2 linked regions of the Drosophila melanogaster genome follow. Changing the gene in region 1 together with any one later gene gives a genetic interaction. Each region holds a gene or a part of one and is shown in the gene's direction. Other genes may lie near its edges. The genes, in order: Csas and SiaT.

What was found.
Region 2: of Csas (region 1) and SiaT, changing one enhances a phenotype caused by changing the other (phenotypic enhancement), as found in Drosophila melanogaster (one study listed by BioGRID).

Annotation. Positions count from the first base shown.
Region 1 is NT_037436.4:19,987,358-19,990,788, reverse strand, and holds Csas (CMP-sialic acid synthase), read left to right. Parts: upstream 1-1,797; 5' UTR 1,798-1,810; coding exon 1,811-1,884; intron 1,885-1,936; coding exon 1,937-2,127; intron 2,128-2,183; coding exon 2,184-2,388; intron 2,389-2,443; coding exon 2,444-2,720; 3' UTR 2,721-2,756; downstream 2,757-3,431. Other genes in the region: fln (flightin), read left to right, coding at 159-418, 485-640, 703-835; schuy (schumacher-levy), read right to left, coding at 2,757-3,431.
Region 2 is NT_033778.4:24,690,816-24,696,120, reverse strand, and holds SiaT (sialyltransferase), read left to right. Parts: upstream 1-1,734; 5' UTR 1,735-2,214; intron 2,215-2,464; 5' UTR 2,465-2,668; coding exon 2,669-3,446; intron 3,447-3,700; coding exon 3,701-3,798; intron 3,799-3,860; coding exon 3,861-4,140; intron 4,141-4,247; coding exon 4,248-4,345; intron 4,346-4,408; coding exon 4,409-4,579; 3' UTR 4,580-4,699; downstream 4,700-5,305.

The DNA of each region.
Region 1 (3,431 bases):
AACGTTTATAAAAAATAAGAAGACAGTGAATTTGTTAAAGTATCTTATTGTGATATAATAATATGATGATGGCTTACGTTACCTAGAGATCGAATATTGAAAGTGAATCTGTCTATGATAGATATATAATAATATTGAAAGGATTCCGTTTCAGTAATATGGCAGACGAAGAAGATCCATGGGGTTTCGACGACGGCGGCGAGGAGGAGAAGGCGGCATCCACCCAGGCGGGCACTCCGGCCCCACCCTCAAAAGCACCGAGTGTGGCATCCGATCACAAGGCTGATAGCGTCGTGGCTGGCACTCCGGCCAACGAGGAGGCTGCTCCGGAAGAGGTAGAAGAAATCAAAGCACCGCCGCCTCCGCCAGAAGACGATGGTTACAGGAAACCGGTGCAGCTCTACCGCCACTGGGTCAGGTTGGTCCTCCACTGTACTGTACAGCACTGTACCGTACTGTATCTTATGCAATCTGCACTTTTCAGGCCGAAGTTTCTGCAATACAAATACATGTACAACTACAGAACCAACTATTACGATGATGTAATTGACTATATCGACAAAAAACAAACTGGAGTGGCCCGGGAAATACCAAGACCACAGACGTGGGCGGAACGTGTCCTGCGCACACGGAATATCAGGTGGAGTAGCTAATCCGGTTTGTGTAAATATAGTAGTTGTTAATATTTGTTATCCACCTCAGTGGCAGTGACATTGATTCGTATGCACCGGCAAAGAGGGACAAACAACTAATTCAAACACTGGCGGCCTCGATAAGAACTTATAATTACCACACCAAGGCATATATCAACCAAAGGTATGCCAGTGTCCTTTAGTAAGCGCACCTAAATGTACCAATAGAACCGTCGGACGAACGGATGAGCACTCGTAGTTATATAAAGGGTAACCACCCATTGTCAAAAGATCCATACGTACATATGTGTATAGTCAGTCAGTAAGCGTTTGCATATCTGCGCATCTCAAAACTCTGTATCCTGAATCTGCCTTATGGAGTGGAGACCTTTCAAGAAAACGAATATTGTATATTTTTTCTTACATGCGTAATTTCTGTTAATATATTGCCATATGTACTTATTCATATATATTAACACAACTTACCTCTCAATACATGGTATTTTTAAGGTTATTTACTTCATTTTTAGCAAAGTGAGTAAATAAAACAAACCTATTTATATTGTAAAGCTTAAAATAAAAACTGTGCAATAAATAAAACTAAATAAACATTGATGTTTTTCCTATTCAAATATGACGGCAGGTATGAGGTATTCAAAAACTAGTGCTTAAAGAAATCCCCATGGGCATTTAAAAACTTTAACTTCATAGTCAAGCGCATGAGAAATCCATTTTTTATTATAATTTAAAACAAGATGAACGAAACGTTAAAACCCACTTTGGTGGACTGACTGGTGAGTACTGCCCTCCATGAACGAGTAAGGAAAATCAGAGTAGTCCAAAGTCCCCATAAAGTGTCTATTTGCATAAATCACAAGTGCAACCCCTCTAATAACACACAATAGGGTAAATTAGGCTATTGTGTGCGTTTGAATTAGTACAAGTACATTTTAGAGTGAACTAATCGCAAACTAAATTAAATTATATTATTAAATCACAAAAGAACTCAAAATAGAAAAGGATCACGATCATGAAAAATACTTTAAATATATTCTGTTTTTTCAATATTTTGTGTACTTATGTTATACTTACTGGCTCACCCTAATACATATATCTTATATGGGCGCCACGATTTTTCTTTTTATTTAAATTTCGACCTCAACCAGAAGCACAGCGCAATGATAAAACTGAAACCGGCCACTTTTCTTATTTTACTAGTTTTTCTTTTCGAAACCGGGTGCACGGAAAATTGGTTAGTGTAGTGCAGATTTATGAGTACTTTTATTTATTGGATTTTATTTCAGTCTGAGCAACGATATTCATGCATTAATTTTGGCCAGGGGAGGCAGCAAAGGCATCAAGCTGAAAAACCTGGCTGAAATTGGTGGCTCATCGCTTTTGGCCCGCACAATTATGACCATCAAAAATTCGACTTGCTTTCGACATATTTGGGTTTCCACAGATGACAAACGAATTGCCATTGAGGCACAAAAGTGTGAGCATTAAATATTATTATAGTGAATATATCTTTTAAACTCTTGAGCACTTTAGATGGTGCCATAATACATCATCGGCCTGAGAAATTCGCCAGAGACGACACTCCTTCACTTCATGCCATTTCGGAGTTCCTAGATGTTCATAGAAGTATTCATGACTTTGCTCTATTCCAATGCACATCTGTATTCCTGAAAACCAAGTATATTCAAGAGGCTGTTCGAAAGTTTGAGTCCCATGACTGTGTTTTTGCCGCTAAGAGGTACACTATGCTCTAAGAAAAATGTAGATGTTTAAAAATCTATGATCTATTTCAGATCACATTATCTGCGATGGAAGGTGGTCGATGGTGAATTGATGCCAGCGGAATTCGATTTGAGTGCCAGGCCAAGACGCCAAGATTGGCAGGGTGATATTGTAGAGACAGGAATGTTTTACTTCTCGAGGAGGAAACTGGTGGACAGTGGGCTACTGCAAAACAATAGGTGCTCCGTTGTGGAAATCGATGCCAAGGATAGTCTGGAAATTGACTCTAGCCACGATCTGACTCTAGCCAAATACATCTTAAGTAGTGAAACAAAAACCGAGTTATAGAAATAGATATGCTATTCATCAAAGAAAGTGTAAAGTTCATTGATCTTGAATGTTGGTTTGATTTTGTAGTTTAGGCTTCACACTTTTTGTTGGCCAGGCTATCACGGAAGTGTAGCGACTGATTCGCTTGGTCAGGAGGCGTGGAATGAGGGCGTTGCTGGTGGGTCTCAGGACCAAGCAAGTCCTGCCAAACCGAGCGACACACAGGGAGGTTGGGCTGGATGGATTGGTCCTCGCAAATGATGCACCACCCATGGATCGGGGTAATGGCGACTTCTTGCTGCCGGCTTGATCGTCTTGGGTGGCCTTGGCATCCTTGACATCCTGGGGTTTCTCCTGAACCTGGGCCTTCTTGTTAAATATGGGCTTTATACCATCCTGATTGTGGGATCTTTCGCTGGACTTTAGTGACTTTTCCTTGGATGGGTAGAAGCTGCTGCGTCGCTGGCTTGGTTTCAAGGGGCAGCAGACACTTTGGGCTTGTTGCTGCTGCTGCTGTGATTGGAACACCTGTTGGTTGTTGAAGGGTCCCAGGCAGTGGCAACAAGGATGGGGGTGCGTCCTGCACTGGGAACACTGGTTGCACAAGGATTGGCACGAGCAACAGGGATAAAATCCTCCAGAAATCGGAATATTCGGCTGCTGCTGCAGCGCACAAGTGGAGGTTCCGAGAACTGGGTGCATCATGTGCTGGCTGATCTGACCACCTAA
Region 2 (5,305 bases), on another chromosome or scaffold:
TGCCAGGACAAAAGTGACAAAATATAAAAAAGAAGAAAACGTTAAAATGTGTTGTATTTAATATCATGCAAGCATGCACAGAAAACCGAACAAGGCGAATAAAGAAAAACAATTAATATAACGAAATTCATAGCGTCAAGTCAAGTTTAATTTAATTAAATGAAAACATAGACTAATTTAATGGAAAGCCATATACAGCTAGCAGACAAAACAAAAAGTCTCCATAAAATTGATTACTCTAACCATAGTAATTCCCGAATGAAAGTTTGCATAGTGAAAAATCGAATCCAACAATGAAAAGCCCCCTCCCGAATAACAGTAATTTAGTGGAAACTGATAAAACGTAAAACCTAAAACCTAAAACCCCACTTGAGACAGCTAAAACTTTAAAAACTAAACTGAAATCTTCTGTACTTGTTATTAAAATACAAAACGTAAGGATAAAGAAACATAGAAGAATCAACAAATTATAAATATAAAACGATGAAAAGCCCAAAAATAGAACACAAAAACGAAATTTCATAGTCCTTAAGCTAAAGTCTAAAACCAAAGAAAATTAAATTCCCCCAGCCAAACTATCTAACGTAATGAAATTCATTTCCAAAGCGGACGGAGAAGGAATAGTAATACTTTCTAATAATAATGGCAACTGGCATAATTATGGTAATTGTAAAATAATTAAACAATGACGTAAACGTAATACAAAACGGAAAAATCGAAAATAATAAAAATAAATTGTTGTTATTGAATGTATTTGTATAGAAAAATTATTATGATTATGACGATGAATAATAAATGATTACAAAAATAATAATTATTGTTCAAACCGAAAAAGCAAACAAAAAAACAAAACAAATATATATATATACGAGAAACCGTCTTTGACTTCCTACTGGGATGAACTGAAGGAACTAAACAGCCACGTGCCAAAACCCGTGGGCTTTGCTCGGGAAGAATCGGAATAATGGTCGGGAAAACCCCCTATAAACAAAACAATTAGCAGTCCTCGAGAGAAAGGGGAGGAATGGAAAGGGGAAAAATTGCATGACTCCGGACCAAAGCCAAGGATAATTGCATACGTGGGGTTAAAGCAGTGTTTCCTTCACATTTTAATTTGGACAATTCTATTTAGATAAAGGGTTGCCAAAATCGTTAATGAAGAAGATGGAAACAAAGATGCATGTTTCAGATTTCCCCAGCCAACAAAGCTGAAAGGCTTTGCAACTTGACTCACGATCCCTATTTAGTATACAAAGTCGGAACGCCTTGTTTACCTAATCCGCCTGGCCGGGTTATCCGTTATTTATGGAAAGTATAACCATGCATATCAGGTGAAAATCTTGATTTCCCCAAGCAGCTAACCGGCAAAGTGGCAGCAATCAAGTCGGTGAACCAGCGAGCGGCGGCAAATAATGGCATGTTCTGGAATCTCGCACGCACTTGCGTTTAAAGTGCTTGTGGGCTTGTGCGGGACTTGCGAGGGGGCTGTATTATATAACCTGTGTAACTTTCACTTTCGAGCCGCTCAACGCAGGTGCTTAGCGGCAGTAACGGCGGCACCATCATCGGCAGCCGCAACAGCAAACACTCTAATTAGGCGCGACCAGCGAGGAGGACGAGGCGATGGGCAAAGGACGAAGGCAGTCGGAATGCCGCTGCCGAAGCTGGCTCCTTCGCAGACGAGTCCTTCGGCTCCATTGGCCGGGGCACTGTGCCGCCGTCTGCCGAGTTTTCAGATACGTTTCGGCTGGCGAAAGGGAAAGTTCGAACTGCGGACGCGTCGCCGGAAAATCCTTCGCTTTTCCGGCTGCTTTTCCGAGTTTTGCGGGCTGCATGTGAACGCACTGTCGGTACGTGTTTATCCGCCTTTGAAATGTATTTTTGTGGCGCTAAATATTTGCCTAGTGCTAACTAGTTGTGCGTCGACGGTCAACTAGCTTTTCTGTTTGCTCGCGGCAGTGGCGTATATATTTGCATACTTTTTGGCGCCAGCTGAAAAAGTCCAAAATAGAAAAGTGAAATTGTGAATCCGTCCAAAAGCATTTATACGGCATGAAAACTTTATGCCAACTGACAGCTACATGAATTGCTACTCAGGCTTAAGTGCGAGCTAAAGGTCAATGCTAATTGACACTGACGCGGCAAATAAGTTGGGAATTTCTCGATAATTGGGAATAAAATTCAATCCTACTCTCGGAACATTTTGATCGCTTGGTAATTGTCGTTAAAGAAAAAGAGGGAAAATTGTGCAAAAACTTGGGTGCCGCTGCCAATAGTAGTATCTGATTAGATTAATATTTAAGTCAATGGTTGCTAGAGCGCATTTTATGGTTTTATTTTGATAAATTTAAAGTTGGTTTTTTTTTCAAATATTTTAATTGATTTAAAGTTCATTGAAGCCTAATTAAAAATAAGCCCATATTTACTTTAAAAAGTTAAGTTAAAAGTTAAAAGTTATTAGCAGATCCTTTAGTCACAATTTGGTTGAATATAAGATGAATACAAGATGCCATTGATAGAATCCGAATAGGCTTGCATTGTTTCAACTTTACATCCTTTTACGAATTGAGTCCTTTGGCTTCTGGCGCTGATTGCCGTGAGGCGAGCATCTTCAGCTCACTTAAATATTAATTGAGCCCTCGTTCGACCAGCGTATTATGAGTGGAGAATGAGGCAAGTGACACGCGCATCGTCGGGTCAAAGTCAGGCCCTCCTTTCATGCCTCATTATCGCCGTGTGCGCCGCATTAATAATTCAATCTGGGCATATCCAGGGTGTGAAAGCTCAGCCGGGACGCGAACCCGGCGAGGTGAATTCGCGGCAGCCCGGCAACGGTGCGTATGAAAACAGTACTGGCACGGAGAGGCGATTGCGCAAAGTAATTTGGAAATGCATTCCCACAGGAAATGGGACCACTGGCCACCGCGTGCCGCGCAGTGTGTTCCACGTGCGCTGGAACCCCAACGAGAAGTTCATCGTGGAGAGTCGCGAGAATCCGGCCATCAACTCGTCCAAGCTGGCTCCGCATCCCCGACTCAAGGTCTCGAAGAACACCAAGCTCACGCTGAGCCCCAAGCTGTATCTCTGCCACGACAAGCACTCGGAGCTGTGCCACAACAAGACCCAGCAGTTTCGCCAGCGCATTGTCCGGGCCTTCGAGAAGGCCATGGTGGAGTCGGTAAACGAGTCGCAGGCGAACCACTACAACGTGGACTACAAGCCCGTCTTTGGGGACAGCTTCGAGGAGCAGTACTACCCCTCGACCTGCCTGGTCATGGAGGCGGGCGTGCGGGTCCTGCGCCGCAAGGACGCGCCCTTCAACAAACTGCCCTTCGGCCGGCTCTTTCCGCGTCAAAAGCTCTTCCGCAACGTCAAAGACATCAAGACCTGCGCCATCGTCTCCAGTGCGGGATCCTTGGCTGGCTCCAAGTTAGGCCGCTTCATTGGTGAGTAAATCTGAAAGCAGTATGCATAAGAACATGATTCTATTTTTTCTGTTTGAGCACTAATTTTTGTACTCATAAAGTAAAATTTTACTTGTTAAACTGGCATTGTTAAGTTTCGCTGTTTGCAACTGCAGTGCACCCACCTGCATGCACAATCAGTCGGAAGAGGCCGCTCGTGATCGGTTTGATTTAGCCGTCTACTCTAATTCCGTTTACTATACATTTTGGCCCACTACGCTCCGCCCTGCTCCCAGACACGCACGACATTGTGATGAGATTCAATCATGCGCCCACGCAAGGACACGAGGTGGATGTTGGCAGCAAAACCACGATCCGTGTGGTGAATTCGCAAGTAGGCTGAAGCGCATTTCCGCACTTTCGATTGCAGCTGCAATCAACTTTTCCCCTCCCCAGGTGGTCACCAAGCCGGAATTCGACTTCACCCGAGCCCCCATCTTCCGGAACGTCACGATCGCCGCCTGGGATCCGGGCAAGTACAATGGCACACTGGAGGATTGGCTCACTAGCGCTGACTACGACCTCTTTTCCAACTACGAGCTGTACAGGCGGCGCTATCCGAAGTCACGTGCCTTCCTCATCGATCCCCACTCCGTGTGGCGCCTGTGGCAGAGTCTGCAGATGTTTGCCGGAAACCGGCCGATAAGCAAGAATCCCCCCAGTTCCGGTTTTATAGGTAAGCTATAAAGTTCAGATGCTTGGAATTGTGTGCCTTGCGCCTGCAGAAAAAATTGGGTTCTCGAATGTGAATTGCTGAGTGATTTCTATTATGTGCCTTCCCAGGACTGGCCCTGCTCCTGCCGCACTGTCCCCAGGTGGACTTCGTGGAGTACGTGCCGTCCACACGACTCAATGGACGCTGTCACTACTACAGCAAAGAGGTGTGCTCGAAAATTAATTTACTCAGCCGACTCTCCTGATCCCCTGACTTCCTTCATTCCCAGATGAATTCCGCCTGCACATTCGGCTCCTGGCATCCGCTGGCCGCCGAGAAGCTGATGGCCCTGGACATGAACATGGCGGAGGACGACGACATGTCGGTCTTCCAGTTCGGCATCCTGCGGATTCGCCGGCCGGACAAACTGCTCTGCGGCTTCAACTTCTTTGGCTACTGAAGAGGAGCGCGATTCCCAGTTGCCAGTTCGCAGTTTGCAGGCGGAAGTGGCAGTGACAAACCAGGTGCATTTAATCAAGTGGTTTTCATCGAGTGCAATAAACAATTCAACTTTGCAATGAATACAAGCTGAAGTACACTTGGTCGAGTGGAGCGTGGGAGGAGGAAGAGGAGGAGGAGTCAGGGTCCCAAGTGGATTCCCTGCCTTTTGATTGCTTCTCTCGGCTGGCTGGAACAAAGCCGACCAGAACAGAGCAGAACACAAATTATGACTGTCCTCATGGAGCCGTGTTTTTCTTTGCCATTAAATGCCATAACTGTTTGTCTACACGGGCGACCTGAGTGCAATAAGTATAAGTATTATGATTGTTATTCCGGCCCCAAGGATCTCGGCGTGGGCGTGTAGTGGACGGGGTGCGGCGAGCTGGGAGGGGAGGGAAAGCACTCATTAATACGTGATGCGGCAGGCCGAACGTGCGGCGACTCCAAAGTGACAAGACGTCAAGACAACAGCGGAAAGTCGGTGTTATGATGACAATTTTTGGTCGTTTTCTGCTGGCGTGGCCGGAGTTAAACGCTGCGTATGCGCGATTAAATAATATATAGAATGAATAAATATTGAGATTTCGTTGAACCAGGAACATGGCCCAGAACGAAAGTTATGGCCGAAGGGCACTGGGCAGTATCTAGAAAACGAGTCCAAACGAAACCCGAAGTGTGAAATGGG